7 linked regions of the Macaca mulatta genome follow. The protein of the gene in region 2 interacts with the protein of the main gene of each other region in a pairwise test. Links are inferred from orthologs where the notes say so. Each region holds a gene or a part of one and is shown on either strand. Other genes may lie near its edges. The genes, in order: CTSB, RGS2, GIT1, MTUS2, NIPSNAP1, PRKN and WDR74.

Region 1 (4,259 bases), on a different chromosome or scaffold from region 2:
AGGGTGAGCAGGCAGTTGGGACCACCTTGACCTCCAGCCTTCTGGTCCTCAGTTCCTTGGGTATCCCACTCCGCTGGGGGCTTAGTGACCATGTTTGGGCTCCAGAGATTATTTTTTCCTTCCACTCCTATCCTTAGTTTGGTACTAACCAGGCGGGAATACAGGTATGACTCTGAAGACCCTGGCAGGCTCAGGGCTGTGTGACAGCTGACGACCGGGCTGCAGGGAGCCACGTCCCTTGGAGTCCTACTGCCTTTTTACTGTCGCCACAGCCTGGATAAAATACGATGATTCTTCTGAACTTCTTTTTTTTTTTTTTTTTTTTTTAAGGCAGGGTTTCACTCTTGTTGCCCAGGCTGGAGTGCAATGGCAAGATCTCGGGTCACCACAACCTCCGCCTCCCGGGTTCAAGTGATTCTCCTGCCTCAGCCTTCCGCGCCACCACGCCCGGCTAATTTTGTATTTTTAGTAGAGCCGGAGTTTCTCCATGTTGGTCAGGCTGGTCTTGAACTCCCAACCTCAGGTGATCCGCCCGCCTCGGCCTCCCAAAGTGCTGGGATTACAGGCGTGAGCCACCGCGCCCAGCCTCTTTGAGCCTCTTGAATACAGGGGTCATGCCTGCCTTGCAGGTTTGTCTTTAGGATTAGAGCTGTTTGGGGAGGGTCTGGAGGAGGGTGTCTTGAGCCAACCCCAGCATCTCCCCTCCAGGCCCTCCCGCTAATAAACCCCAAGTAAATGTTCACTTTGTCAGTCCTCTCGGAGCAGGTCTCCCGGGACTCCTGTGCCAAGCCGATTTCCGCCCCCCAAGGTCCTTCTCCTCCTCTGTAGAAATCCTGACGCAGCTCCTAGGTTCCTTCGCGGTGACAGCCACCCTTTTCTATTTGTACGTAGCTGGAGTGTTTTGTGGGTACGTTCTCAGAACAACAAAGTGGAGCGTTTAAAGACTGTTCTGTAGGGTCCACAGCCTCGCCACCCCCAGCCCCTGCAGCGGCTTCTGATGAATGAAATAAGCGACGGCGCCCTCTCCCCCACCCCGCCCCCGCCAACCCGGCAGGCAGGGATCCCCGGCGCCGGTTCTGGCGGAAGCGGTCCCGCGAGGCGGGGGGACTTTTCTAGGTGGGGTGGGGGCTCTGGGACCACCTTTCGGGGCTTTTTCCCCATCCCCTGGCCCCAATTCGCAGCGTTTCGCCACCCAGGGCCCGCAGGGCTCCAAGCCCCTCTTCCCCAACCCGGGCGCTCAGGCCCCCGCCCTCCCCGGCGGTGTCCCCGGACCCCCGGCGGAAGGGGTGGGGGGGTGCGGGGCCGGGAAGAGGGGAGCGCGGGCGGCGGAAGGTGGCGGGAGGAGGTGGGGGCTGGGAAGCGGGGTGCGCGGGCAGCGGGAGGGCACGGGCGGGGCTGCGCGGTAGTCACGTGGCGCAGGACCGGGAGGGTACTTAGGGCCGGGGCTGGCCCAGGCTACGGCGGCTGCAGGGCTCCGGCAACGGCACCGGCTCCGCGGCGCGCAGGCTGGGCTGCAGACTCTCGGCGGCAGCGTTCGGTGAGTGCCGGGGGCGCGGGGTCACCGCGGCGGAAGTGACCTTGGCGGGGACGGTGCCACCGGCCGCCGAGACGGGTTCTTCTGCGTCCCCGGTCGGGCCTAGGCGCGGCCCCGCGGCGTTCCTGGGGGCAGGTGGGGAGCCAGGACCCTCGGGACTGACCCTGACGGGCGGGCTGGGGTGGGAGCCCGCGCACTCCGAAGCGTCGACAAGAAAAGCAGAAAACAGCCCCGCCGGCCCGCCCGCCAGCCCCCTCCCCTCTGCTCCCCTCCCCGGCCTGTGCGCGGGACCCCGGCCCCCGGAGCGGGGACGCGGCCAGGAGCCCCGAGGGAGGCGCCTGCGAGGAAGAGCTCGGCTAGGTCCGGAGGCTGCTGCCTGGGGTCGCGCTCCCAGCGCCTGGGCCTCGGTGTCCCCGGGACAAACTGCCGAGATTATCGCATCTGCCGGCATCTATTTTCGGTTTATTTCCCCCTCGTTCCAAAGGATTTGCCTGGCCAACTTTCTGCGCAAGATCCCACACAATTCCTGGGACCCCAGAAGACAGGTCCTGTTGAACAGGGATCTGGCACTGGGTGGGCTGGGGAGGAACCCGCACGGAGTTAAATCCATAAACAGGAAGAGAAACCAAGCTGCGAAACCAAGAGGCGAATGGGCGATTGGATGCCGGGTGGGGAGAAGGCCAGGGACGCTCCCTGCCCCTGGACTCCAGTAAAGGGAAGCCGGGCAGAGTTCCTGGGGCCCTACCTCCCCCTCGGTTAGTAGCCCTGGAGGCCGGGGGGAGTTGGCCTCTGGGGAGCAGTAGGTGCCTGGGTGTGGGGCGCTGCAGGCAGGCTGGGGTGGGTGACCCAGCTGGAAGTGAATTGCACTTGGCTTCTTGGTGGGCCTCTGTCACCCCCTTCCCCAGGCATCGAGGAAGCCAGCAGGCTGGCAAGGAAAAGGATCCTAGCGCAGGCCCTACACCCCTCCTCCTAACGGAGGAGAGACCCCCAAACCCACTGGAGAAGCGATGCTGTGGGGCTCAAAGGCAGACCTGGCACGTTTTTGTAGCCTAGAAAAACTGATCCCCACTGCCTCCCGCCGGAGGAGAGGATAGCTGAGATGCACCCTCTTTCAGTCCAAACGTTCAGGAAGGTAAGGCGAAGAGGCCTAAGAGGGCGTTGGCTTGGTTAAGGGCTGCTCTTTCTCTTCCATAACATCGGTTCTTTTTTTTTTTTTTTTTTTTTTTTTTTTTTGAGATGGAGTCTCGCTCGGTCTCCCAGGCTGGAGTGCACTGCCGCAATCTCGGCTCACTGTAACTTCCGCCTCCCAGATTCAAGCTATTCTCCTGCCTCAGCCTCCCGAGTAGCTGGGATTACAGGTGCCTGCCACCACACCCAGCTAATTTTTGCATTTTTAGTAGAGATGAGTTTTAACCATGTTGACCAGGCAGATCTCGAACTCCTGACCTCAGGTGACCTGCCTGCCGCGGCCTCCCCATGAGTCACCATGCCTGGCCTGGCGGAGAACTGTTTCTTCTTGGTGATGGTGACTTAGAACCCGCCAGCTCCTGGAGAAAGGGGCTGGGCTGCCCACCCTGTGTGGCCTTCCCAAAGACAGAGTCAGACGTCTCCTGGAGAGCAGAGGCTTCTCCTCCTTTTTGGTCATTTGTCCCGGAGCTGGGGTATCCCCTGGTGGAAAGGCACAGGTCTCTTGGCCCAGGTGGCAACGCAGACCAGACACGGCCCTGGCACAGCTCTCGCCCCAACAGCTCTCCTGGATGTTGGCTCAGGACAGCCCTGTTGTCAACTGGTCAGGCGGCGAGGGGTGGCAGCCCTTTGGCTCCAGGTTGAAGCGGCCCATGTGGTGCTGATTTAGCAGTTTGGTGAGGCTCTTCTCCTGGGCAGCTTCTTTTCTTTCCCTAGCTGCTGGACCTGGGAGTTGGAAGATAAGTTGCACCCATTTTAGGGGTAACAGATATTTTCTGTTGCTCTTGGTTGGATTGGGAAATGAAGGGAGATCACGTTTCAGGGGGGCCTTGGGATGTCTGTCGGTGATGTTCTCTTTCTTTTTTTTTTTTTTTTTAAGACAGACTTTCCCTCTGTCGCCCAGGCTGGAGTGCAGTGGTGCACCCTCCACCTCCCAGGTTCAAGCAGTTCTCCTGTCTCAGCCTCCCAAGTAGCTGGGATTGCCGGTGCCCATCACCACACCTGGCATTTTAAAAAATTATTTTTAGTAGAGACGGGGTTTCACCATGTTAGCCAGGCTGGTTTTCGAACTCCCACCTCAGGTGATCCGCCTCAGCCTCCCAAAGTGGTAGGATTACAGGTGTGAGCCACCACGCCGGGGTGGGGGTGATTTTCTTAAATCTGTTAATGAGTTATGGTTGTGTAGAATAATATACCTTCCTTTCGAGATATGGACTGAAACATTGAGAGGGAGGAGTTACAGGTATGCCACTTCTTATCCTTTTCTCTTTTTTTTTTTTTTTGAGACAGAGTCTCGCTCTGTCACCCAGGCTGGAGTGCTGTGGCACAATCTCCCAGGTTCAAGCAGTGCTCCTGCCTCAGCCTCCCGAGTAGCTGGGATTACAGGCATGCACCACCATGCCTGGCTAATTTTTGTATTTGTAGTAGAGACAGGGTTTCACCATGTTGGCCAGGCTGGTCTTGAACTCCTGACCTCAAGTGATCCCTGCCTTGGCCTCCCAAAGTGTTGGGATTACAGGCGTGAGCCACTGTGCCCAGC
Region 2 (4,020 bases):
GCTAGTTCTGGTAATATTGTACGAAATCAACTCATTTTGTGGTTGAGGTAATCTATTTGTTTTTACCAATCAAGTCGTTTTAAAACCTTCAGGAGTAGAGATGATACTTGAAGAATTAACAAAAAACTTAATGAAGGAAACTGTTAACTCCTCCTTCCCCCTACTTTTTGCCAGTTATTAAAAGTTCTGGTAAATCCTAACTCAAAACAAGAATGACTCATGAGGAAATCCTGACTCCTTGAACTCATGATTCTAGTGCATTACAGCTCTGAAATATCTGTGTCTCCAGCTTTCTCTCCCACCATAAGGAAACTTGTGATTTCCATTTTGGCAGATGTGACCAAGGGCTCCTGAGGAATGACCCTATAGACAGACCCAGCCACTTGCCTAGTAGTGATCAAAAATGCAAATCCAATTAAAGCACTGTCTTCTGATAAAGTCACCTTCTCTTGTTCAATCCCTAATGTTCATTCCCAACGTGTTTCAAGACGCCCCAGCAAGCTGCAGAGCAGGTCCCACCCTGCCCCCGGGCAGTCAACGTTTCAGGTTACACCTTCCTTAAATTAAGTGGCAGAGAGAAACGGGGGAGGGTCTCCCCGTAGCCTCAGTTCATTGACCAGGGTGTGTCGAATGAGTCCCTACAGTAGGACAGCAAACAAGAAATGAGGCGCGGGGTCAGGGAACGCGCTCAAAAAAAGAAGAAAAATCCCACTCTTCATTCAAAATCAGGCCACTGAACTCCGGCCTCGCGGCGGGCGACCTCCTCCTGCCAGGGAATCGCCGCTCTGGCCTGGGGCTGGGGAGCCCGTCAGGGTGGGTGGGTGAGGGAGCGACGTAGCCTCCGCCAGGCCGCAGCCAACTTCGGCTCTCTCCCTCCGCCGCAAGCCCCCGCCTGGCCACCACGCTTCAGCAAAAGGTCGTGGGCAACAGCCCACACTGAAAAGTCCCTGTCTGCTCGCACGCCGGCCCCAGCTGGCCGCTGCTATGTAGTCCGAGTGCGCAAGAAGCCCGGGCCGCAGACGTCAGCAGCGCCCTGGCTTCCAGACCCTTCGGCGTTAACCGAGACTGCCGCTGGCGGGCGCTGACCCCCATCCCAGTGCCCGTTTGCAACCAACCAATCCGCGTCCTCTTGAGGCGGGGCCGGAGCCGCGAAGCCCCGCCCCCAAGTCGCGGCTTCTTATAAAAGCTGCGACGCACGCCCAGCAGCCAACAGCCGCGGCCCCAGCGGGAGGACGATAATGCAAAGTGCTATGTTCTTGGCTGTTCAACACGACTGCAGACCTATGGACACTAGCGCTGGCAGCGGCCACAAGAGCGAGGAGAAGCGGGAAAAGATGAAACGGACCCTGTGAGTATGGCTTTCTTCCCTCTCCCGCCACCCCTGCCACACACTGCGAGCTGCAAACGCGGTACTTTGGGCTCGGCTTTGATGTTAGGAAACTAGCCCGAGCCTCTGCAGGGGAAAAAAAAAATCGAAAAGGTCAGTTTGTTAAGGTTAAATCTGGGTGATGCTCGGGTAGAGTTTAGGAACCGAGGGAGATAGTTGATATGAGGGCCGTGGTGGATGCGCTAAGAAATTGCGGGTTGGCTTTTTGTCCTCCTGCATTCAAAATGACATCAGAATCCTGCGGCTGAAGCGCGTCCCCAGCATGCATACGTTGCATGATGAGTTCTCATCAGCTTACACAGCTCCTGGAAGGAGATGCTCTTGCTGGTTGTGAATATACTCGTTTAAAATCCATTTTTGTTTTTTAATTATAGAGCAGATCTCACCCAGTCATGAATGTGGAACAAATAATTGTTCTGCAGCGTCTGCTTAAAAGAAGTGTTGTAGGTGGGGAAGGAAGAGCGCAGGGGAATCAGTCACCCACCTCCTTGTACACTGTCTCTGGCATGCTCCAGAACCTCTTGCTCTAAAGAGAGAAGCGTGGGCCGGCTCCAGACAGTTCCACGTCTGTCCTTTTCATTAAATTGTAAAACCCCTCGGAATTGTAATTAACCTTGCAAACAAACTGATGCCCTTTGTGAGCCAGAAATAGTATCTGCCTTTTGAACTAAATTCATTAACAATTCTTTAAAATACCCTAGTGATTGTAGGTAGCCCTGCCCTTAGTTGTAAAACTAGTAGATACGATCAGTTTAATGGATGAAACTGCTCAGTACATGAGGTTTAAATGTTAAGTGGATAAGACTGTTATTTGAAGAGTTCTTGCTTTGCCTTATGCGGTTTGTCTCTAGTTACTGGGTGACTTTATTTGGTAAAAATGCGTTCAGCTGCAGTAGCATATTCAAGTGTTGCTACTTAGTGATTATCTTTTTTAAATTTTTTTGTTTGTTTTAGTTTAAAAGATTGGAAGACCCGTTTGAGCTACTTCTTGCAAAATTCCTCTACTCCTGGGAAACCCAAAACCGGCAAAAAAAGCAAACAACAAGCTTTCATCAAGTAAGTTGAGAATCCTGTACTTGCAAATGTTAATAGTTAGTTGCTGAACTGAAAAGGGGAACTCTGATGTGCATAAGCTAACATGCAGAACCTCTCTTGCAGACCTTCTCCTGAGGAAGCACAGCTGTGGTCAGAAGCATTTGACGAGCTGCTAGCTAGCAAATGTAAGTTAACTCTTGAACTTTAGCCATTGCTAATATTGCAAAAGCCTGCAAAGGCTGGGTCCACACAACAAAAGAGCAGCTTGCCTGAGGGGGATTAGACTGCAGTCACTATTGGATAAAGCCTGTTTTTCTCTCCTTTATTTCCCAGGGTTTAACCATGGAAATAAATGCATGTATTTCCTCCAGGTGGGGAAGAAAATCAGCCTAAAAAAATTAAAGTGGCAGTTGCTTATAGTTAAGGTTGAGTCAGTTTTTCCATTGCATACAATGTTTTCAAGAGGCTTAGTTCCCAGAGAATTTATGTCTCCCCTATAAATATTTACTTTGCATTGACAGCAAAGTACTTATATTTTTGCAGCAGAGGGCCAACATAAGCATTTTGCCTACTGGTATCTTCGTCTTTAAAAAGCTAAATTTTGAGAATTACAGGTTTAAGCGAAATCTAGAAAATTGCTGTCATTTAGAAATAATTAAAATGTGAGGGAGAAGTACTAGGAGAAACATAAAGAATCATTTGGTCACTCGGTTCTTCACATTCTGCATGCTTTCTTTTCTCCCCCCTTCAGATGGTCTTGCTGCATTCAGGGCTTTTTTAAAGTCGGAATTCTGTGAAGAAAATATTGAATTCTGGCTGGCCTGTGAAGACTTCAAAAAAACCAAATCACCCCAAAAATTGTCCTCAAAAGCAAGGAAAATATATACTGATTTTATAGAAAAGGAAGCTCCAAAAGAGGTAAGGAAACAAGTTCCTAAACTGAGCACAATCTGGACATTTTTAGCACAAAAGTGAAACAAAATAAGGGCAAAGTGGGGCTAGAAGGAGGGGTAAAAAGTCCCCCCATGTTGTAGCTTTCAGTTATGTTAAAGTTCTTCTGTGACTTAGGTAGTAAAGCTAATCACACATAATTTTTATTTTTTGTTTTCAAATACTAAATTTTAATCTTTAACTCTGAACACCAAATAAACAACTTTTTTGTTTTATTTCAGATAAACATAGATTTTCAAACCAAAACTCTGATTGCCCAGAATATACAAGAAGCTACAAGTGGCTGCTTCACAACTGCCCAGAAAAGGGTATACAGCTTGATGGAGAACAACTCTTATCCCCGTTTCTTGGAGTCAGAATTCTACCAGGACTTGTGTAAAAAGCCTCAAATCACCACAGAGCCTCATGCTACATGAAATGTAAAAGGGAGCCCAGAAATGGAGGACATTTCATTCTTTTTCCTAAGGGGAAAGACTGACCTGCCATAAAGACTGACCTTGAATTCAGCCTGGGTGTTCAGGAAACATCGCTCAGAACTATTGATTCAAAGCTGGGTAGTGAATCAGGAAGCCAGTAACTGACTAGGAGAAGCTGGTATCAGAACAGCTTCCCTCACTGTGTACAGAACGCAAGAAGGGAATAGGTGG
Region 3 (4,181 bases), on a different chromosome or scaffold from region 2:
TTGGACGCCCCAGGCAGGCAGGAATGCACACGGTGCCTGACGAGGTGGCACAAGCTGCCAGAGCAGCCACGCCATGTCCAGTTGCCTACCAACACACTCGCACTTGTCCCGGGTGCCCAGGCCCGGGAGCAGAGGGAGGATGGGGCTCTCTGGGGGCAGGCTGCATCTCACCTCTGACCTCCATGACTCCTCAAATTAACCAAGCACAAAAAGTCCCTGGCCCCACTCCTGTGGCTGGGACTGCAGGGCTCCTATCACAATAAAAGAAAGCTGTGACCCTGGGGTGGAGCGATACACCATGGGGCTGGCACTGGATCTGGACTCCAGACTGCTGGGTACCCTCATGCCTCTCTGCCTGAGATGCCACAGGACCCAGACCAAACACGTCGCTGCATGCCAGGGCCAGCATCCTAGGGTCCAGGTGTGGGATAGTCCCAAGCAGCCAGCCAGGGTCCCGACAAGAAGCCAGACACTCAGGGAGCGCCTGCCATGTGCTGGACACTTCGCTGGGTGCTAGGTGGGCTGATGTGTAAGACTGTCCATATCCTCCCCACCCCACCATCCTCACCTTCTCACCATCTTCCTGACCTCTATTGTGTATCAGGGGAAAAGAGTCATCTGGGGCACAAATTCCTCTGACGGATGAGGACCTAGGAGTAGGAGCTGGGCAATCCAACACATCTGATGCCCACCATTCCTCCCTGAGCCCACTGGGCATCCAGAGGCTTTGGATGACATTCAATGCAACAGAGAAAGGACAACTGCCTTGCTGCCTTGCTGGTGCTGCCCTTCACCCCTCCACCCCAGAATCAGATCACAGCCCCCCCAGAAACCATTTCTACTCCAATTTCTTTGCCTCCTAATTGAGGAAACTGAGGCCCCCACAGTGAGGAAAGTCTTTTTGGGGTTACAGAGTAAGCTGGGAACAAAGGCAACACTATGCCCCAGGCTTCCCCGATAGGGTGCCTGCTAAGCCTCTCCTCCACATGCATGCCATGCTCACCCCATGGAGGTGCGGAACAGTGGGCAGACATTTATAAGGCAAGGTGTGTCCTCAGCCCTGCCATCCCCAGACCTGCCTGCAGCTGGGGGAAGGGAGTCATAGTTTCTTAGGGGTATGGACCCTCAACCCCAGGGCCCTCTAAACCAAAAGCCCCAAGGAGGAGAGTATCTTGTGCCCAAGCCCTGCTGGGTCACAGTTCCCAAACCGTCTAGCTTGGCACCACCCCCAGAACCACCAGAGCATCTGTGAGGCTCAACCTGTGGGGTCCTGGGCTTGCTCAAGGGGTGGCTGAAAGTTATGGACCCACAAACCAGCACCCCATAATCTCACTCTTAATAATGCCCACAGCCCCGCTAGAGTTCACAGACCTCCGAAGCCTGCCCAGGGGCCTACTAGGGAGATAGCTCCTTTTCTAAAGAAAGAATGGATGGGGGCTAGAGCTTCCTTCCCAGGCCAGCTGCAGAGCCCAGTCACTGGCTGTCCTCCCCCATCAGAAGGGAGCAGACTCTTGGATCATTACCCCTGACTTCCTCAGCAGGCCTGGGGGGTTTCACTCCAGCCCAGTCCTGACTCTGTTAGGAAAAAGAAGAGAACCACCATGTAAATACAGCCAGGAGGCAGGCTAGGAAGCCAGCAGGATGCGGGGAATCTAGGCATTGCCTCCCACCCATTTCTCGCCAGACTGGGCTAGGGGACAGGGAGGGGCCGGGGCCCAGGATAGCTTGATGCCAAGCTCACTTTCCCAAGCGGGCCTTACGGTGAATAGGAACAGCAGGGTCCAGCCGAGCTGTTCCCAGTCACCACCAGCAGGCCTGGTGATGCCTCCCGATAAGACACCCGGGTCTGAACTGGCCCTGAACGCCAGGCCCCGCAAAAAAGCGCTAGCCTTAGGAACCCGCGGCAGGGAGTCCTGGGAGTAGCCACTGCTCATCTGCTCCTGAGGAGACGGTATCCAGGCCCCGCTGGCGCATCTGCCCGGCCCTCTGCTCCTTGCCCTCCACCACCCCGGCAGGCGTGCCGACCACGCGAGCAGCAGGTGCAAGACGCGGGGGTGGCACTGAGATGACACAAAACCACACTCGCCCCCACCTCCCAAGCCCTGCCGGCCTCCGCCACTGCCCTCCTGCCACCCCAGGCTGGCGCTTCCGTCGGATAGAGATGGAGGTGGAGGGGCAGCCAGCTGCCCGCCTCCCTCAGACCGAGGGGCGGGAGGCAGCGCCGGGAACGTCCTTCCTCGCTCGTCCACCGCCTCCAGGGAGCATGGGCCCCCCAGGACAGCCCTCCCGCCAAGGACGCGGCTCCGCAGTGGCCGGGGCGGGGGCCGAGCCCGGAGGCCGCAGCCCCCCGCCCCGCCCAGCCCAGCCCAGCCCAGCCCTCCGGCCCCGCACGGCGCTCTCGCCAGGCCCCGGCGCCCGCCCGGCGGCGGCCTGGCTGTGCGGTCCCGCCCCCGGCCCCGCCGCGCTTACCCGGGGCGCTGCAGTCCGCACACACCTCCGCTCGCGGCCCCTTTCGGGACATCCTCAGCGGCGACGCGGCCGCAGCCCTCTGGGCCAGCGTGGGGGGCGCGGGCGGCGGGCCCGGGCGGCGGCGGCGGCCCCTGCTGCCCGGCCCGGCTCCGGCGAGGCCCCGGCGAGGCTCCGCGCGCCCGGCCAACCGTCCGCCCCGGGGCTGGCCCGGAACCCGCCGTGCCCGCCTGCCCGCTCGCCCTCGGGCGCCCTCCGCCCCACGCCGCCCCGCCGCCGCTCGCGACTCCTCTCTCCGCCCCCTGCGCGGCTCCGGGCCGCTCCTGCAGGAAGCGGCGCAGGCCCTGCCCACCAGGGGAGGGGCCGCACCCCCGCCCCGCCGCGCGCTCCCGGCCGCGCCCCCTGGAGAAAGGAAGCCCGGGCGCGGGCGGGAGGGGGCGGGGGCGCTTAAAGGGGCCGCGGCTAATGCCCGGCCCCGGCGGGCAGCGGGGCCTGCGGTCCTGGCCTCCGCTGCGGCGCTCGCCTGGCCCGGAGGCAATGTGAGTCACCCTCACAGCCCCCTCCCCTTCACTTTCCGCGTGGGGTGGCCCGGGGGACGCTGGGCCCAGGGATGGCGAGGGCGGGGATTAGGCAGGAAGGACTTGGAGGCCCAAGTCCCGCTCCAGGTCAAAGGGGCTGTGCCTTGGGGTACCCTTCTATCTCTGGTTGGGGTGAGGTGTGCCTCCCGGTCCTGTAGGTGTCCACATCTGTGTGTCCAGGTGTGTGTGCGTGTGTCACACTCTTGCTGAATACGCTCATTGCCAACAATATGGACGCCCAGGTGCTAGAAAGGTCAGGCAGTGTATTCCCCTGCCTCTGGACTAAAAATATATCTATCTCTCCATGCATGCTTCCATCCAGAGAGGAATCTGGGCGGTTTTTAAAGACCTCCCAAGGAGTGACCACTGTGCCTGTGTGCACTCAAATCCACTTGTCATCCGCCTTATACACACGGTGTTTCTGGGCCACCAGAGGTGTGTGCGTCCAGAAAGGGTGCATATAACACAGAGGGGCCGTTTCAGGTGACAGCCTTTCTTCCTGGACTTCACACGAAGAGGCAGGCAAAGGCAAGGCAGGTGAGGGACGTGGGTGGGCTGGGGGGCAGGGAGCCTAGTTGGAGGCCTCACATGAGCACAGCCCCCGCACTGAGCATGCTCCCCCATACACGTGTGCCGCGCGTGCACCCAACCCCCAATCCCTGCAGCAGCAAAAGGCCCGGGCACTCTGCTTGTGGGGAGAGGGCAGAGGTCCCCAGGGCCAGACCTGGGGGCCAGGTCAGTGGTGACAATTGAGGAGGGGTTATCGAAGTCAGAGACTCCTGCTCGGTAACAGATGGGGGCAGTCCTTTGGCAGGGGTGCTCAAGTTGGTCGATTTATCCCAGCGGTGCCAGAGCGGCAGTGACTTGTGGGTGGGCAGGCTCCTTCCCTAGGGGAGACAAGTAATTCTCATGAGTCACACCACCCGAAATACATGCAAAGCTGCCTCCATCGCCTTTTGCTGCGGCCCGGATTGACAAGTTTGTTTGAAATCGCGATCCATGGGCTTTATTTATAATTGCACCTTAAAAAAATCTTTCAGGCCTCCCCTCCCCAGACAGCCAGCCGCTCAGCTGGTGGGGCTTTTGCAAGCAACGATACCTAGCTGCTATGTAGGGAGGAGTACTACCTGCCGCCCC
Region 4 (3,500 bases), on a different chromosome or scaffold from region 2:
GAGGTCCAGCTGGCGAAACCAGCTGCAGCCCAAACTGAAGGCCATCGGGATGGGGGGAGCAAGCACTTTCAGGTTGAAATGAATGAATGACCTTTTGTGTTCTCTTTCCAGCCAACTCCAGCACACCCCAGCCTTGCAGAGCAGAGGCACTGCGCTCCCACGTCCAGGGGAGGGGCTGCTCAAGCCCCCAGGCTGGAAGGGTGGGCGCAGGGACCTGAGACCTGCTGAGTCAGGGGAGAGGGGGTCTCTAGACTTCTCGCATGGACGATCACCCAATCCCAGCACACACAGAAAAGGGGTCCAGCCTGCAAATGCCACCCCCCACCTTGCCTCCCTGCCTGGAATCCCCAGCCTGAGAGGGACAGGACTCCAGTTAAATCAAGTAGGTATCGCAGAAAGTCCCTCAAGTTTATTTTAATAGGCTTTAGAGTTAAACACAAATATGCAACACAAACTGTAGGGGCGGGAAAAGGGATGTTGTGACCCCATTCATTCAACCAATCACTGCCAGGGCTGTCCCCACCCCCATCCGTTCTAACATCCAGCCAGAACCTTGTCCCAGCATGTGACGGGCAGGGGCGGGGGTGGGGGGCAGGCCGCCCATGCATCCCCCAAATGCCACAAAAAGACAGGTGGTACCTGGTGGGTCTGTCTGAGGCAGGTGCAGAGGCTGCAGCATCTGAACATGGAAATGTCGCTCCAGCCTGGAAAGGGACAGAGGCAGACACCACGTGGAGAGAAATCTGAATTCTGATGGTGTGGGGGGTGGAAGAATCGGGGAGGAGGCACAGCAGCTGCTGCCCCATGTGTTTCTGGAGCAGTGATGGCTCAGATGAGGAGCCATACACGATGGGTGTCCATAACGAAAGAAAAAGCAAAAAAAAAAAAAAAAAAAAAAAAAAAACACGAAGCCAGGGCCATGTGGAAATTAGCTCAAGTACCCAAGGTCAGGGTGGGTTAGGGTAAAGCTCTCACCAAAGTCCACCTAATGAGGAATTACTTAGTGCTAACAATGCTACAGCTCTGACCACAGCAGCCTAACACACTGTACCACGTTCTAGCATCACACGGAAGTCGGTATTGCTGTGTAACTGCGTTTAGCAGGTGCGGCTATGTAAGCGGTTCCTAATTCGGGCAGCTAAGCTGAACCGAATGTGTGTTTGCAGGTTGTGCCTGCTACAAGAATAAATGATTGTGTACTTAGTCAATGTGGCATGATCTACTCTAATGGAATGCCCAACTCAGTATCACAGTATCATGCAGAGCCACTAAAGCAAAGAGAAATGGTGGCACTTCCATGTGGATTTACTGTGTATGTCCCCAGAAGGAGCAAGACCTTTGGAGGTTTGCTGGAGATGTACCCGAGGCCCGGAAGCTCAGCTTGGACTCAGGCTAGGGCCAGGGACCATGTCTGCCTTCATGTTGGCCACACGTGTGCCGCGTAGGCGCGCCCTGGGCAAGCCGACTCCGTCCGCTGGCTGTTTCTTCCCCGCTCCATGGCTCTGGCCCCTGCAGGATCCCCTCATGGTTCTTCTCGCCTTGGGCACACTCAAAGACAGGCCTGTGCTCAGGACAATTTTGGGGGGCCTCAGGGAGAAAGTGCAGGGTCTTTGTCGCATACAGGAAACAAGCGCATCATCATCATCACCATATATGTTAAAACTACTTCTTTCTTTTGTGTATCATGCTCCTAATCTTCCGCACCACTACATGAGTACTGTTCATATCCTAATTCTACCATTTTAGAGACAGATGCCAGTCCAGGAGCTGGTGGCCCCTGGCTGGCTGTTTCACTGGGCTCCTCTGTTTGGGAGAACCTTCTGGGTCTAAGATGGGCGCACGGTCAGCAGCAGCGTTGGCTGATCATCCAGCAGGAGGTGGAAGTGGGTTTCTGGGTGGTCGTGTGATGATCTAGCACAGCTCAGAACTGGTTCCCCAGGGATAGAAACGGTGTGTTTTTCTGGAAGCCCCTGCCAGAACCCCTGAGCCATCTCAGTGTGCACTGAAGGGGCTGAGTTGTAGAACCAAACTGAAGTGGGGGCTGCTATGAAATGGGGGCCTGAGGGTCCTATTTCAACGAGTTGATCATTTACGGCATCGCGTCAGAGTGAACCACATGGCAAGCTGGAGTGCCGTCCCCCTCTGTGCCTGATCAAAATACAGACCCTAGCAGCAAGTTCCTTCATGAGGATGGAGCGCGAATGGGCGCTGTCATCTCCAGGGTCATCCTCACTCTCTCTCAAAGGTTTTCCGGAGGGTGCAACCTGTTTTCCGGATTGTGCAACAATAGCTTAATGACCGAGTCTGAGATGCCATTTAGGAAAAAAGCAAAACTGTGTTTACAAGACTGTTAGAGATGAGTCACTGTCATGAGAAACGTCTGCAGAACTGTTAAACCCCCTTCGGGTTTCCCACTGCTCTCCCTCAGCCGCTCATGACAGGAGTCTCGATAATGAAAACTTGCGAATGGAATAATAGTGATCTCACATCATGTTGACTAAGAAGCTGATTGTTCCAAAGGCAGTTACCGTTCACAAATAGCTGGTGTTCGTGTTAAAGAGAGCACCACTTGGTGGTGAGTTGAAAGGCGCTTCTTCTCTGTATCTTTTTTATTTTTTTTTCCTTTTTCTATTTTGGGTAGAAATATTCCTGGGAAGCTAGATAGAAATGCATTTTCATTTCCCAATAATTCTTAGGCACAAGTTAGAAAACTGCTGACCGTCACTAAAATATGTCAGCACTTCATATTATAAAAAATGAAATTGAGAACCGCAGCATGTGTATATACGTATATCTAAATATACACACATATCGGTGCAGTACACAATGATTATTCAATGTATATTGAAAACTGAGCTTTTTGTAACCTGAAATTCTGCAGTGAAAGTTCATTGCTCAAGAACAATTGCAAGTGTCTTTCTTTTGGCTCTAACTATGGTAAAACGTTTGCACATCAGACTTTACCATTTACATGTTCCTAAGTGCTGACACCAGGGCAGTCTTACACGGGGATCAGAGGAGGACGCGCCTAGGATGCATTCGCAGCTACTGAGCATGCGCACAGGGCCAGCTCCGGCGGCACCGGCTCGGTGCTCCCTCGGGGTGGAGACTGGAGGACGAGAAGCCGGAGCTCCCGCAGGCCGCGCAGTGGCGTCATCTGGGTGTTGTGCTGACTCTGGCCGGAGAGGAGGGCCCCGAGGAGGAGCCGCGGTAAACGGGAGATGTGGGCGAGAGTTTAATCGGGCTGGTTGGGTCCCCAGTTTGGAGCTTCCAAAGCAGCTCTTCGTTGGTTCGGCTCAATCTCTTCTTCTCCTGGGTTTCCTTCTCAACATACTCCTGGAGGTTAGCGTTTTCCTCCGACAGTTGTCTGCACGGGCACAGTGACAAAACAAGTAGCAATCATGCTAGTGGACACCGAACCTGAGGTCACGACAATGGGTGCAGGACAAAGGGAGGAGGCCATGATGCCATCAGGGAGAACAAGGACCAGGGCGACCCAG
Region 5 (4,279 bases), on a different chromosome or scaffold from region 2:
GACAGACGTAAGCCACTGTGCCTGGCCAAATTTTTGTATTTTTTATAGAGACAGGATCTTGCCATGTTGCCCAGGCTGGTCTCAAACGCCTGGGTTCAAGCGATTCTCCCACCTGGCCTACCAAAGTGTTGGGATTATAGGCGTGAGCCACGGTGCCTGGCCCAGGTCCATTTGATTTAAAAGCCCACACTCCATCCCCACCCCAGCAGCCTCATTGCCCCCAAACTTCACAGGCCAGAAGGGCTGCTGCTGGCCCTACTAGTGACTCCAGAGAGATATGGGGCAGCCTGAGGGCAGCAGGACAGAGTGTTCTCAGGTATCCAATGTGGAATTAAGGCATAAGTAACTGCAAGATGGTCCTTGAGGGACTTGATAAATATTAATCCAAGTGTCTTCACAGCAATCCTGCCAAACACACCAAGCAGGGATCACCATCCCCACTTTCCAGAAAAGGAAACTGAGGCTGACAGAGGTTCAGCAACTCATCCAGGGTTACTAAGTGAGGGGCAGCAGGCTGACTCTAAGACCCATGCTCCTTTTATGGCCTCTGGGTGTTTGCCACACAAATGGTTTTACCACCAATCCATTCTGTCCCTTCCCCAACCTTGATGTTTTCATCTGGAAAACAAAGGGCTCATAAAGGATGATCTTCCCAGAGCCCTTTGAGCCTCAATATTATGTGGGTCTCATGCAGAAATTGCTTGTAACATAGGCTAGGGGCAAGGAGCAACACTTGCTGCATGTTTGTCAAGTGCCAGACACTTCACAACCACGGTATCTTTTTTGTTTTAGACAGAGTCTTGCTCTGTCACCCAGGCTGGAGTGCAGTAGCACGATCTCGGCTCACTGCAACCTCCGTCTCCTGGGTTCAATTGATTCTCCTGCCTCAGCCTTCCTAGTAGCGGGGATTACAGGTGTGAGCCATCATGCCCAGCTAATTGTTTGTATTTTTAGTAGAGACAGGGTTTCACCAACATGGAGAATTTTTTTTTTTTTTTTTTTGAGATGGAGTCTCTCTCTTGTCGCCCAGGCTGGAGGCTGGAGTGCAGTGGCATGATCCCAGCTCATTGCAAGCTCCGCCTCCTGGGTTCACGCCATTCTCCCGCCTCAGCCTCCTGAGTAGCTGGGACTACAGGCGCCCGCCACCGCGCCCGGCTAATTTTTTGTATTTTTAGTAGAGAAGGGGTTTCACCGTGTTAGCCAGGATGGTCTCGATCTCCTCACCTTGTGATCCGCCCCCCTCGGCCTCCCAAAGTGCTGGGATTACAGACATGAGCCACCGTGCCCGGCCATTTTTGTACTTTTTATAGAAACAGGATCTCACAGTGTTGCCAGGCTGGTCTTGAACTGCTGACCTCAAGTGATCCGCCCGCCTAGGCCTCCCAAAGTGCTGCGATTACACATGTGAGCCACCATACCCGACCAAGCACGGCATCTTTAGTCCTCAACAACCCTATGAGATACTTCCTGTCTGATTACTCCCATTTTACAGATGAGGAACCCGAGGCTTAAAGAGTCCTGAGGTCACCCCACCTAGAAATTCCGAGTTAAATTTGTTAGTGCCAGGCAAACTCTAGGCTCTTCCCACGGTGTCAGCTTTCTCCCTAATTACTGGGCAGTCTGGGTGGGGGGCTTATGCCACTCCTCTTTCCCAGCTGTTGAAAAGCCCCACTGCTCTGTGCTGTAACATCTCATGGCAGGCTCTAACAGAACTTTGCAGCTTCATTCCTGGGCTGCAGGGCAGGAGGGATGCTTGCTTCCTTTTCCCAGGTTGGGGGAAGGGGAACAGGTGGCCTCACTTCTTTGGTAAATATTCCTTGACCATACACAGTCCTGAGCCCTCTGAGGGTGGGAGGCTGGGGAAACAGAGAAAAATGAGATCAGGGTCTAGCGAGAGACAGACAAGCACCAAGTCATAACTGTGCAGGGTGATATATGCAGATGGGGGAAGTACAGGGCTGTGGGGACCAAGGAGCGAGGGGCTGCTCAGGGACCGTCAGGGAGGCCAATCCCTAGCTCAGCCCAGAGCAGGGCCCAAACAAAAGCCCAGGCTGAGAGCACATGGCCCAGCCAGACTCCCACTCCCAGGAGGCCACCAGTTGGGTGCAAAGTGCATGGCGCATTGGCAGGCCTGGGTCCCAGATCTGGTTATGCCATGGCACAGCAGGGAGGGTGACCTTGGACAACTCCCGTCCGTTTCCCCACCTGTACAGTTCGAGGTGGGGGAACAAAGGGTCTGTGCAGCCATGGCCCCTGGGGATCCCCCACTGCTCCCCTGCCATCATCTCTTTCCCACCGAACTTCCCGACGGAGGAGCTGACTCTACCAGAAGCCTCCAGTGGGTGTTAAATCATAAGCTACGCCTGGGAATGGGCCACTCCTCCTGTCTTCTGCCCTCTCCCAGTCTCCAGGGCCCAGTACCTGCCCTTCTCACCATCTTTCATCAGGTCCCCATCACAGCCCGGTCCCAACCAGGACAAAGACCCTACCCATCCCTTTCTCGCCTCCCCCATTCTTTGCCCAGACCCTTCCCTAGGCCTTGATCCTGCCCCGCCTCTAACCCCCAGATTCCAAGAGAGGAGTCTCTGCCCCTCCCCCGCGGCCCAGTCCCTGGCCCCCGCCCGTGCACCCCACCCCGCGCGCTTCTGTCCCTGCCTGGCCCGGCTCTCACCGCGCCGCAGCTGCAGCCGCAACGTCCCCAGCGCGGGGCCCCGGGCCCCCCAGCAGCCGCCGCGCCGCCACAGAGATGCTGCATAGCCGCGGAGCCATGTTGGAGCCGCGAAGGTTGCAGGAAGGCCCCGCCCCCAAGCCTGGGTGAAGGAGGCGGGGCGCGAATAAACTCCACCCCTCCGACTCGCCCGCCCCCTCCACTCACCCGGCCAGGTGGGCGTTGCCCGTGGGCGTCTCCAACTCCGCAGGTGCTTGACGGAAGTCAGGGTTCTAATCCTCTGCGCGCTCTGCGACCTTGGCAAGCCCTTTGTCCACTCTGGGCCTCAGGATCCACCTAAGTAAAATGGGAGCGTGGAACAATAATACCAAGGGTTCTTAACACGGCTGTCCGGGATGTGCAGCAGAGGGTCAATGTAACCTCCCCATGGGTTCATTTTGCCCGTTTCATTTTTCCCCGACAGAGCGATTTATCAAGACAGGGGAATTGCAATAAGAGTTTAATTCATACAGAGCCGACTGAATGGGAGACCGGAGTTTTATTGTTACTCAAATCAGTCTCCCTGAAAATTCGGAGACTGGGTTTTATTAAGGATAATTTGGTGGGTAGGGGCCAGAAAGTGGAGAGTGCTGATTGGTCAGGTCGGAGATGCCATCATAGGGAGTGGAAGCTGTCCTCTTGTGCTAAGTGGATCTCTGGGTGGGGGGCCACAAGACCAGATGATCCGGTTTCTTAATCTGTGTGTCGCCTGCGGATCCATTGAGTGCAGGATCGGAAAAATATCTTGAGCACCAATCTTCGGTTTTACAGTAGTAGCTCCCCTAGGAGCCGTTGGGAAGGTTTAGAATCTGTGGCCACTACCTGCATGACTTCTGAACCGTAATTTCTAATCTCGTGGCTAATTTGTTAGTCTTACAAAGGCAGTCTGGTCCCCAGGCAAGAAAGGGGTTTATTTTGGGAGAGGGCTATTATCTTTGTTTCAAAGTTAAACTATAAATTTGTAGCCGGGCATGGTGGCTCATGCCTGTAATCCCAGCACTTTGGGAGGCTGAGGCGGGTGGGTTAGGAGTTTAGGTCAGGAGTTCAAGACCAGCCTGGCCAACAGGGTGAAACCTCGTCTCTACTAAAAATACAAAAACTTAGCCAGGCATGGTGGCGGGCACCTGTAATCCCAGTTACTCGGGAGGCTGAGGCAGGAGAATCTCTTGGAGGCAGAGGTTGCAGTGAGCCGAGATTGCACCACTGCACTCCAGCCTGGGCAACAAGAGCGAAACACCGTCTCAAAAAACAAACAAACAAACAAAAAGACTGTAAATTAGGCCTATGCCCAGAAATGAACAAGGACAGTTTGGGGGTTAAAAGCAAAATGGAGTCAGTTAGGTCAGATCACTTTCACTGTCATAATTTTCTCACTGTTAAAATTTCTGCAAAGGGGGTTGCATCAGTAAGCCCCCTGAAACTGTATACAACATTATGTGCTCCTGTGTGGTGCATTCTCTGGGGAAGGGCATTCACAGGCCAGGTTTATCATCATCAAAGAAACAAACTTCCTTATAAGTGAAGACGGGGACAAGACTGTCAGCTGCAGACACTTTATCTCCACCATCTCCT
Region 6 (3,500 bases), on a different chromosome or scaffold from region 2:
CTTTCCAAACGACAGATGTTGTATGTGTTTAATATGTGAAGTACGTAGACAGGAATTGTCTCAGGCTTCTGTGGTTGGCTCGGTGTGTTCACCTCTCACCAACCTGCCTCTGTTCTCCCACCCAGCATCCGATTGTTGCATGAGAACAACACGTAGGATCCATAATTGTAAGACTGGAAAATCGTAGCGATAGGGCAGAGTTTCTCAGAGTGTAATCAGTAGCAACATTTTGCGGCCTCTACCCCCAGACAAATACATCAGAATTTCTGGTCACAGAAAAGTAATGAAATAAGATTTATTTTTTTTCTTGCCATTCTGGCCATCAAAGAAACATGGAAAAGCATGCAAGATAATTCTGCACATGGCAGTCTGTGACTCTCTGCTCTAGTAACTTTACGCTATAATTTTTAGTGAAGAAAAATAATCATATAGGCATACTGTTTGCATATAGTCATTTCAAATCATTCCAAAGTCGTAACTCAAACCAAGAATGAACCAAGACATTTGAAGAGATGAAGTCTCATTTTCTCTGTATAATCTTAAATAAAGCATTCGTTCTAAAAGCTAAATGCACAGGAATTCTGATGAATGACTTACTATGTTTACAATTTTAAGGAATTTAGTAAACATGTCTCACCACTCTTCTAAGAGATTTTGAGGAAAACTACAGTTAACTGGACAAAAACTCCATCCTCAAAGAGATTCAAAGGCGAAGTCGGAACTGGAGTACAAACTAGCAAGTAACAAGGGAGAGTCCTAAGGGTTCTGAAAAGGATTCCTTCCGGTTCTAATGAGTAGGAGAGGATTACTTGTAGTTTAGTTGTTAGTTTAACACAGAGTTAAATCTGAAAGTTGACCTGGGATAAGCCATGTCTCTTTTCCCAATCCTTTACAGATGCAATATAACTACACAGAGGCCTTTCAGTAGCAGTATGTAGGGTACCAGGAAGTCACCCCCAGTCTGTAGTGGTGCAGGGAGAAGTGTATTAGGAGGGCACCCCTGCAGCCCCCAGCTGCACCATGTAGAGTTGCCTAAGCCAGTCCCTAGCCTGCAAAATGCACAAAGCTGGCAGACCACAAGACAGAGGGGTAAATGAGAAACATGGTGATCAGAGGTAAGATGTGACTCAGACATGGGTGGAAAGTAAAGGTGAAACAGCATGTCATCATAGGCCACACAGTACTCTGAAAGCTGCTGTCATTTACCGCATTCCACACATTTACTAGAATTTATTGTCTATTGTTTGGGTGGAAATAATTACACATTTCAATTTAAAAATAAAGAGAATATTATACATTTAGCAGAATTTTCTCAGTGCCTACTGGTACTTCAGACCCTATATAGAGAGAATACTATATTTTCTTAACAAAAAATTATGGTCTAGAGAGAAAGACAAAAAAAGTCAATTGAAAATGTCAATAATTCTAAGTTCATTCTCATAAAAGAAAATTCTGGAGAAGACCAAGGACAATTTTATGATAAAACAAAATAAGAAGAGTCAGATAAATATGTTTGATAAGATAGTAGAGACAGATGCACTAGGAAATGGATTAACGAATGTGAATATGTACAGAATATGATTATTGTGCTAAAATTGTTTTTAATATTCAGTAATAGGTAAAGGTTTAATTTTGTTCTAAACAATGTGATTTTTTTATTTTTAGTAAGAATTTTATTTTGGGAAATCAAAGAACTAGTAGATAGGTCTACTAACATAATAAATCCAATCTGTTACACAGTTGGTACCACTTTTGGTTTCAGCCCTACATTGGGGGACTTGAAACATATTGCCTATTGATGGGGAGGGATGACCGTACATGTTAGACATCCAGAAAAAATGCATAAATCTCAAAGAGGTGGTCTAAAATTCAGGCTTGGATACTATCTTCTACGGCAAAGGAAGAAAGGGAGAGGAGAAGACAAGAGTAAGGTTTGTTACGCAGATTATTAAGTTGGTGGCTTCTCAAGAATCAGAGTCTCCAGAGACTCTGTCCTTCTCATCCTAGTAAGGAGAGGGAGACACCCTTACAAATGGAGATTTCCTTGGTAGATATAAATTTCCCTTACAAAAGGGTGACTTCCGCTCTGTTTTTAGAGCTTGTCCTATGTCTACTGTTTCTCAAAATAATCAGCTCAAAATAATACTTATGCTAACATGGCATATTTTGGGGTGGTATATTCTGGTCTCATACACCCTCAAGGTGGAATTTTCCCTTGTTTGGTTTATAATGTTGGAGCACTGAGTATCCTTTAGTAGGGCTTGTTTTTCTCTAGAGGTGTCAATGTCAGAATGATCTTCTACATACTCTGGTTGAAACATCAGAATTGTGAGGAGCTTGGGTTTGATATTTATATTAATTTATCATATCCTGGATCACAAGGGCATTGCAGGGGTTTAGATTTATTTCATTTTTCCCCATTTTTGACATTTGTTTCCATTTCTCAGTTTTTCTTTCCAGACCTGAGGTGCCCAGCTCACATGAAGCAGAGCCTCTTTCCCTCCCACAGTCATCTCAAGATCACCAGAGCATCAGCTAATGCCTTACTTTCTGGGTTTATCTACTCCTGTATTTAAAGATGTTGCTTCTACATTTTCACTTGTCCTTGAAAATTATCTTTTTTTTTATTTTTTGCAAGCTCATTGAAAATTTTTAATTCCTTAAATTTTATTTAGTAATTTTAGTGGGAGGCATTTCTTATTACGTCAGGCTTCCATCTTGCAGGTCCCAGAACTTTCTGACACTGTGAAGGCCATACCAGCCCACAACTGCCAGGATCTATTGTATGTGGGAGGAAAATCAACTTCTACCCTGTAAAGTCATTGTGATTATTTTGTGTATTCTGTCAGACACAGTAAAAATTAATTCTATTACACCTTTGACTATTTAGAGAATAAAAGACTAAGAGACACATATTAATATTTTAAAAATAACTAAACAATAACCATCTTTTCCAAAGAAAAGCATTTTGAAATGGGTGGTAGAACAGAGAAGGAAGAATCCTTTCACACTAAGGATGTCATTGCCATTGGAATATGTGGCTTGAGAAACTACAAATGGCTCGATTAGCTTTCAAAATCTTTCTACTTTTTAGAATTTTTCTACATCACTAGAAACATATCTCTTCTATTTAATCTCAATGTGAAAACCTGTTTCATAGTACTTATAATAAATGCATTCTCAAATTTTACATCAAAGTACTCCACCTACAGTGATGTCTCCTTGGAGTGAATTACAGACTCAAATCCAAAACGTATCGACACTAAATATGCACCTGGTGAGGCCATGCTCCATGGAGACTGCACTAAACAAACAAACAGAATGCTCTAATACTCTTAGGGCATTCCAATTACCTGGACTGCCAGCTGGTGGTGAGTCATTCCTGCTGTCAGTGTGCAGAATGACAGCCAGTCCCACAGAGTCTCCTGGGAGGACTGAGCTGCTGAGGTCCACCCGAGTCAAGCTCTGGGGCTCCCGCTCACAGCCTCCCGCCGTGTTTC
Region 7 (2,578 bases), on a different chromosome or scaffold from region 2:
AATGAGACAGCCATAAAGATTTCTCATTTGGGGCCTTCATGTAAAGCTGAGGAGCTGAGGCCAGAGATGGGAGGCTCAGGCCTCAGTCCCAAAGCAAATCAGAGAGGCTGCATCAGGACCAGAACCCAGTTCTCTTAACCCCTAGCCCAATGTCCTCTGACACCTGCACCCTATAACTCCCACAGTGAAGGGAATCCACTGTCCTTTCCTCTCTTCCAGGTGGGAGGAAAACAGCACAGTTCAGGAAACTCCACCCTAGAATGCAGCAGAGGACAGTCATGGGCTCAGGGACAGGGTTGGAACGGATGGGGACGCGCTTGCTCCTTTGAGCTCAGAATGGTGAGAAAGGCAGTTGTGCCAAACCGTGGGGGCCATTTCTTCAGAAGGCTGCTTTATCCCAGGAGAAGGTAGGGGTGAGATGACACCTTACCTGGTGGTACCCTGTGCAGGTGACAAGCTTCTGTGATCCTGGGAGAAACTGTATGTCCTGGTCCCAGATGGGAACCCGCAGGTCCAGCCAGTCATTCCGCACCTGGTGGGGTGGGCAGATGGGGAACAGGGCTGTGGGGGGCTTGATGTGCTCCTCCTTTCAGCCCTCCTTCGCCCCCTAAAGCCCATCTAGTCTCTGACACATAGTCAGTGGCCATAGCCTCCCTCAACTTCAGGAACAGCTCCTTCACACTCTTGTCACTCACGTTCTTGGCCCTGAACACAGGTTCCTCAGAGCCCTGCAGGTCCCACATCTTCAAAGCATTCTCTTTCCCACCTGTGGCAACCACATGGGGGTGTGCTGGGTCTTGGCGCATCCTACACACCCCAGGGCCCACTCTCAGTTCCAGGAGCTAAAAAGAATGGGAGATAAGAGTTCGTTCCAGAGTTCTTAATCCTCCCTTCCCCAACACAATCATTAGGCACCTACCCCAGCCCTCCTCCCCCAACCATCAGGGCAGGGAAGCCTCACTGGGTCAGAGGATGTGTTCTTGTCATTGTCGTGCCAGACTCTGAGAATCCCAGAATCCACACATGTGATGAGGGTGCTGCAGAGAAAGGACAGAGTTGGGATGTTTTAAGTGCTTAAACTCCTTGTTCTAATCTTTCTCTCCTTCTCACTACTAGACTTGACAATGTTTAAAAACAAACAAACAAAAAAGTACAAAAGTATTCCTAGGCCCCAAACTCATATCAACCCGATTCCCTACTAACAGTCCAGTTTAGAAGAAAGCCTCTAGGTCACTAGGCTCTAGGCAGAGCCTGACAGCTTCCAGCTTCCTAATTCAACTTATTCAACTGTTAATTCAACTTATTCAACAGGGTGAGAGTTTACCAAGTGAGGAAACAGAAGTGCTGAGAAGCTAATCTGCCACTCAGCTATGTTACAACCACAGCTGGAAATCCACTCTGTAATATTCCGGAGTGCTTTTGCTGTTCACAGCTGTGTCTAGCGCCTGGCCGTACTGGTCTACCTGGCCGTGCTGGTCTATCTGAATCTTGAGTTGCCTACTAGGGCTCAGGATCAGCAGTTCTAAAAGGATTGAAATGGGACTGGTCTGAATTTAGGGTTTGGTCAAAGTCAAACACCAGCTTCTTATGTTCCTTGCTCTGGGTTTCAGGCACTAAATGTCAGTCTCTTGCTTAAAGTATCTCAAGAAGTCCAAGCAAGTCTCTCCCCAGGATCTGCACAGCCTGCGCCTATGTTCTTTCTCATGCCTGCCAACCCTCCCCAGCTGGGTTCAGGCTCTGTTTCGACTTGCCTGAGCTGTGACAAAAGTCTCCCAGTTGCTGTCTCCAATCTATCCTCCATACTCCTACAGGTTCCCAGTGCTGACTATGGTACTTCTTTTTTTTTTTCTCCCCCCAAATCAACAGGTCTTTTATTGCATCATTAAAATATCACAAGTAGGTCTTAGGAGTCATCTGGCATCTTCTTTCTGTAGCTGAATAACTCTTAGATCTTATTTATCAGCCTGCTGAACAGTTCCTTTTTCAGAGACATAGATACCATCCAAAAATTTCCTGATATCCTTGTTTTTAACTGTTGTGGCTTGCTGAATCAAAGCCGCTGAATTTGAAACAAGTTCAATGTCATTTCCTTCAAGGATTAATTCATCTTTCTGGGCTTGAGATACTGAACAAGCAACCCCTGGTCTCATCCGAACCCTGCGGATGTATTTTTCACCCAAGAAATTTCGGATTTCAACAAGAGACGCATTCTCCTGGATAATGACGTTGATGGGGAAGTGAGCATATACAGACCTCATCTTGTAACGGAAACCCAGTGTAACACCCTTGATCATGTTCTGTACATGACTACAAATAGTCCGAACGGTAGCCAGTTCCTTTCTGTTACCCCACCATTTGTCAACCCGAAGCCTCTTTTTTTTCTTTCCAAGAAGACTGAGTTCTACATTGATGTGATTGAAGTCCCTCCGCAGGGTTCCTCTGGGGCCCTTCACGATAACTGTGCGTCCCTTCAGAGTAATGTCGACATTTTCTGGAATGTCGACAGTCTGATTGCTGAGAATCGTCTTCATTCTTGCAGTAGACGCAGCAAAGAAAGCGACTATGGTACTTCCTATTC

What was found.
Region 1: the proteins of RGS2 (region 2) and CTSB interact in a two-hybrid assay, tested with the Homo sapiens proteins (2 studies listed by BioGRID and IntAct). The link is inferred for Macaca mulatta from reciprocal best matches to the Homo sapiens genes RGS2 and CTSB.
Region 3: the proteins of RGS2 (region 2) and GIT1 interact in a two-hybrid assay, tested with the Homo sapiens proteins (2 studies listed by BioGRID and IntAct). The link is inferred for Macaca mulatta from reciprocal best matches to the Homo sapiens genes RGS2 and GIT1.
Region 4: the proteins of RGS2 (region 2) and MTUS2 interact in binary tests that used the Homo sapiens proteins (3 or more experiments, as listed by UniProt). The two-hybrid records come from large-scale screens. The link is inferred for Macaca mulatta from reciprocal best matches to the Homo sapiens genes RGS2 and MTUS2.
Region 5: the proteins of RGS2 (region 2) and NIPSNAP1 interact in a two-hybrid assay, tested with the Homo sapiens proteins (2 studies listed by BioGRID and IntAct). The link is inferred for Macaca mulatta from reciprocal best matches to the Homo sapiens genes RGS2 and NIPSNAP1.
Region 6: the proteins of RGS2 (region 2) and PRKN interact in binary tests that used the Homo sapiens proteins (3 or more experiments, as listed by UniProt). The link is inferred for Macaca mulatta from reciprocal best matches to the Homo sapiens genes RGS2 and PRKN.
Region 7: the proteins of RGS2 (region 2) and WDR74 interact in a two-hybrid assay, tested with the Homo sapiens proteins (2 studies listed by BioGRID and IntAct). The link is inferred for Macaca mulatta from reciprocal best matches to the Homo sapiens genes RGS2 and WDR74.

Annotation. Positions count from the first base shown.
Region 1 is NC_133413.1:9,424,750-9,429,008, forward strand, and holds the start of CTSB (cathepsin B), read left to right. Parts: upstream 1-1,459; 5' UTR 1,460-1,537; exon of another isoform or gene 1,538-2,666; intron 2,667-4,259. UniProt on the Homo sapiens protein: Thiol protease which is believed to participate in intracellular degradation and turnover of proteins. Cleaves matrix extracellular phosphoglycoprotein MEPE. Involved in the solubilization of cross-linked TG/thyroglobulin in the thyroid follicle lumen.
Region 2 is NC_133406.1:50,335,415-50,339,434, forward strand, and holds the start of RGS2 (regulator of G-protein signaling 2), read left to right. Parts: upstream 1-1,220; 5' UTR 1,221-1,238; coding exon 1,239-1,348; intron 1,349-2,341; coding exon 2,342-2,443; intron 2,444-2,545; coding exon 2,546-2,607; intron 2,608-3,173; coding exon 3,174-3,340; intron 3,341-3,594; coding exon 3,595-3,789; 3' UTR 3,790-4,020. UniProt on the Homo sapiens protein: Regulates G protein-coupled receptor signaling cascades. Inhibits signal transduction by increasing the GTPase activity of G protein alpha subunits, thereby driving them into their inactive GDP-bound form.
Region 3 is NC_133421.1:38,328,613-38,332,793, forward strand, and holds the start of GIT1 (ARF GTPase-activating protein GIT1), read right to left. Parts: upstream 2,801-4,181; 5' UTR 2,754-2,800; exon of another isoform or gene 2,601-2,753; 5' UTR 2,522-2,600; coding exon 2,470-2,521; intron 1-2,469. UniProt on the Homo sapiens protein: GTPase-activating protein for ADP ribosylation factor family members, including ARF1.
Region 4 is NC_133422.1:9,399,800-9,403,299, reverse strand, and holds the end of MTUS2 (microtubule-associated tumor suppressor candidate 2), read right to left. Parts: intron 3,368-3,500; coding exon 3,154-3,367; 3' UTR 390-3,153; downstream 1-389. Other genes in the region: uncharacterized protein LOC114673599, read left to right, coding at 83-382. UniProt on the Homo sapiens protein: Binds microtubules. Together with MAPRE1 may target the microtubule depolymerase KIF2C to the plus-end of microtubules. May regulate the dynamics of microtubules at their growing distal tip.
Region 5 is NC_133415.1:21,974,806-21,979,084, reverse strand, and holds the start of NIPSNAP1 (protein NipSnap homolog 1), read right to left. Parts: upstream 2,801-4,279; 5' UTR 2,770-2,800; coding exon 2,672-2,769; intron 1,857-2,671; coding exon 1,800-1,856; intron 989-1,799; exon of another isoform or gene 1-988.
Region 6 is NC_133409.1:9,887,797-9,891,296, reverse strand, and holds part of PRKN (E3 ubiquitin-protein ligase parkin), read right to left. Parts: coding exon 3,354-3,500; intron 1-3,353. UniProt on the Homo sapiens protein: Functions within a multiprotein E3 ubiquitin ligase complex, catalyzing the covalent attachment of ubiquitin moieties onto substrate proteins. Substrates include SYT11 and VDAC1.
Region 7 is NC_133419.1:11,218,826-11,221,403, reverse strand, and holds part of WDR74 (WD repeat-containing protein 74), read right to left. Parts: intron 2,558-2,578; exon of another isoform or gene 1,899-2,557; intron 1,038-1,898; coding exon 920-1,037; intron 843-919; coding exon 696-842; intron 533-695; coding exon 431-532; intron 1-430. UniProt on the Homo sapiens protein: Regulatory protein of the MTREX-exosome complex involved in the synthesis of the 60S ribosomal subunit. Participates in an early cleavage of the pre-rRNA processing pathway in cooperation with NVL.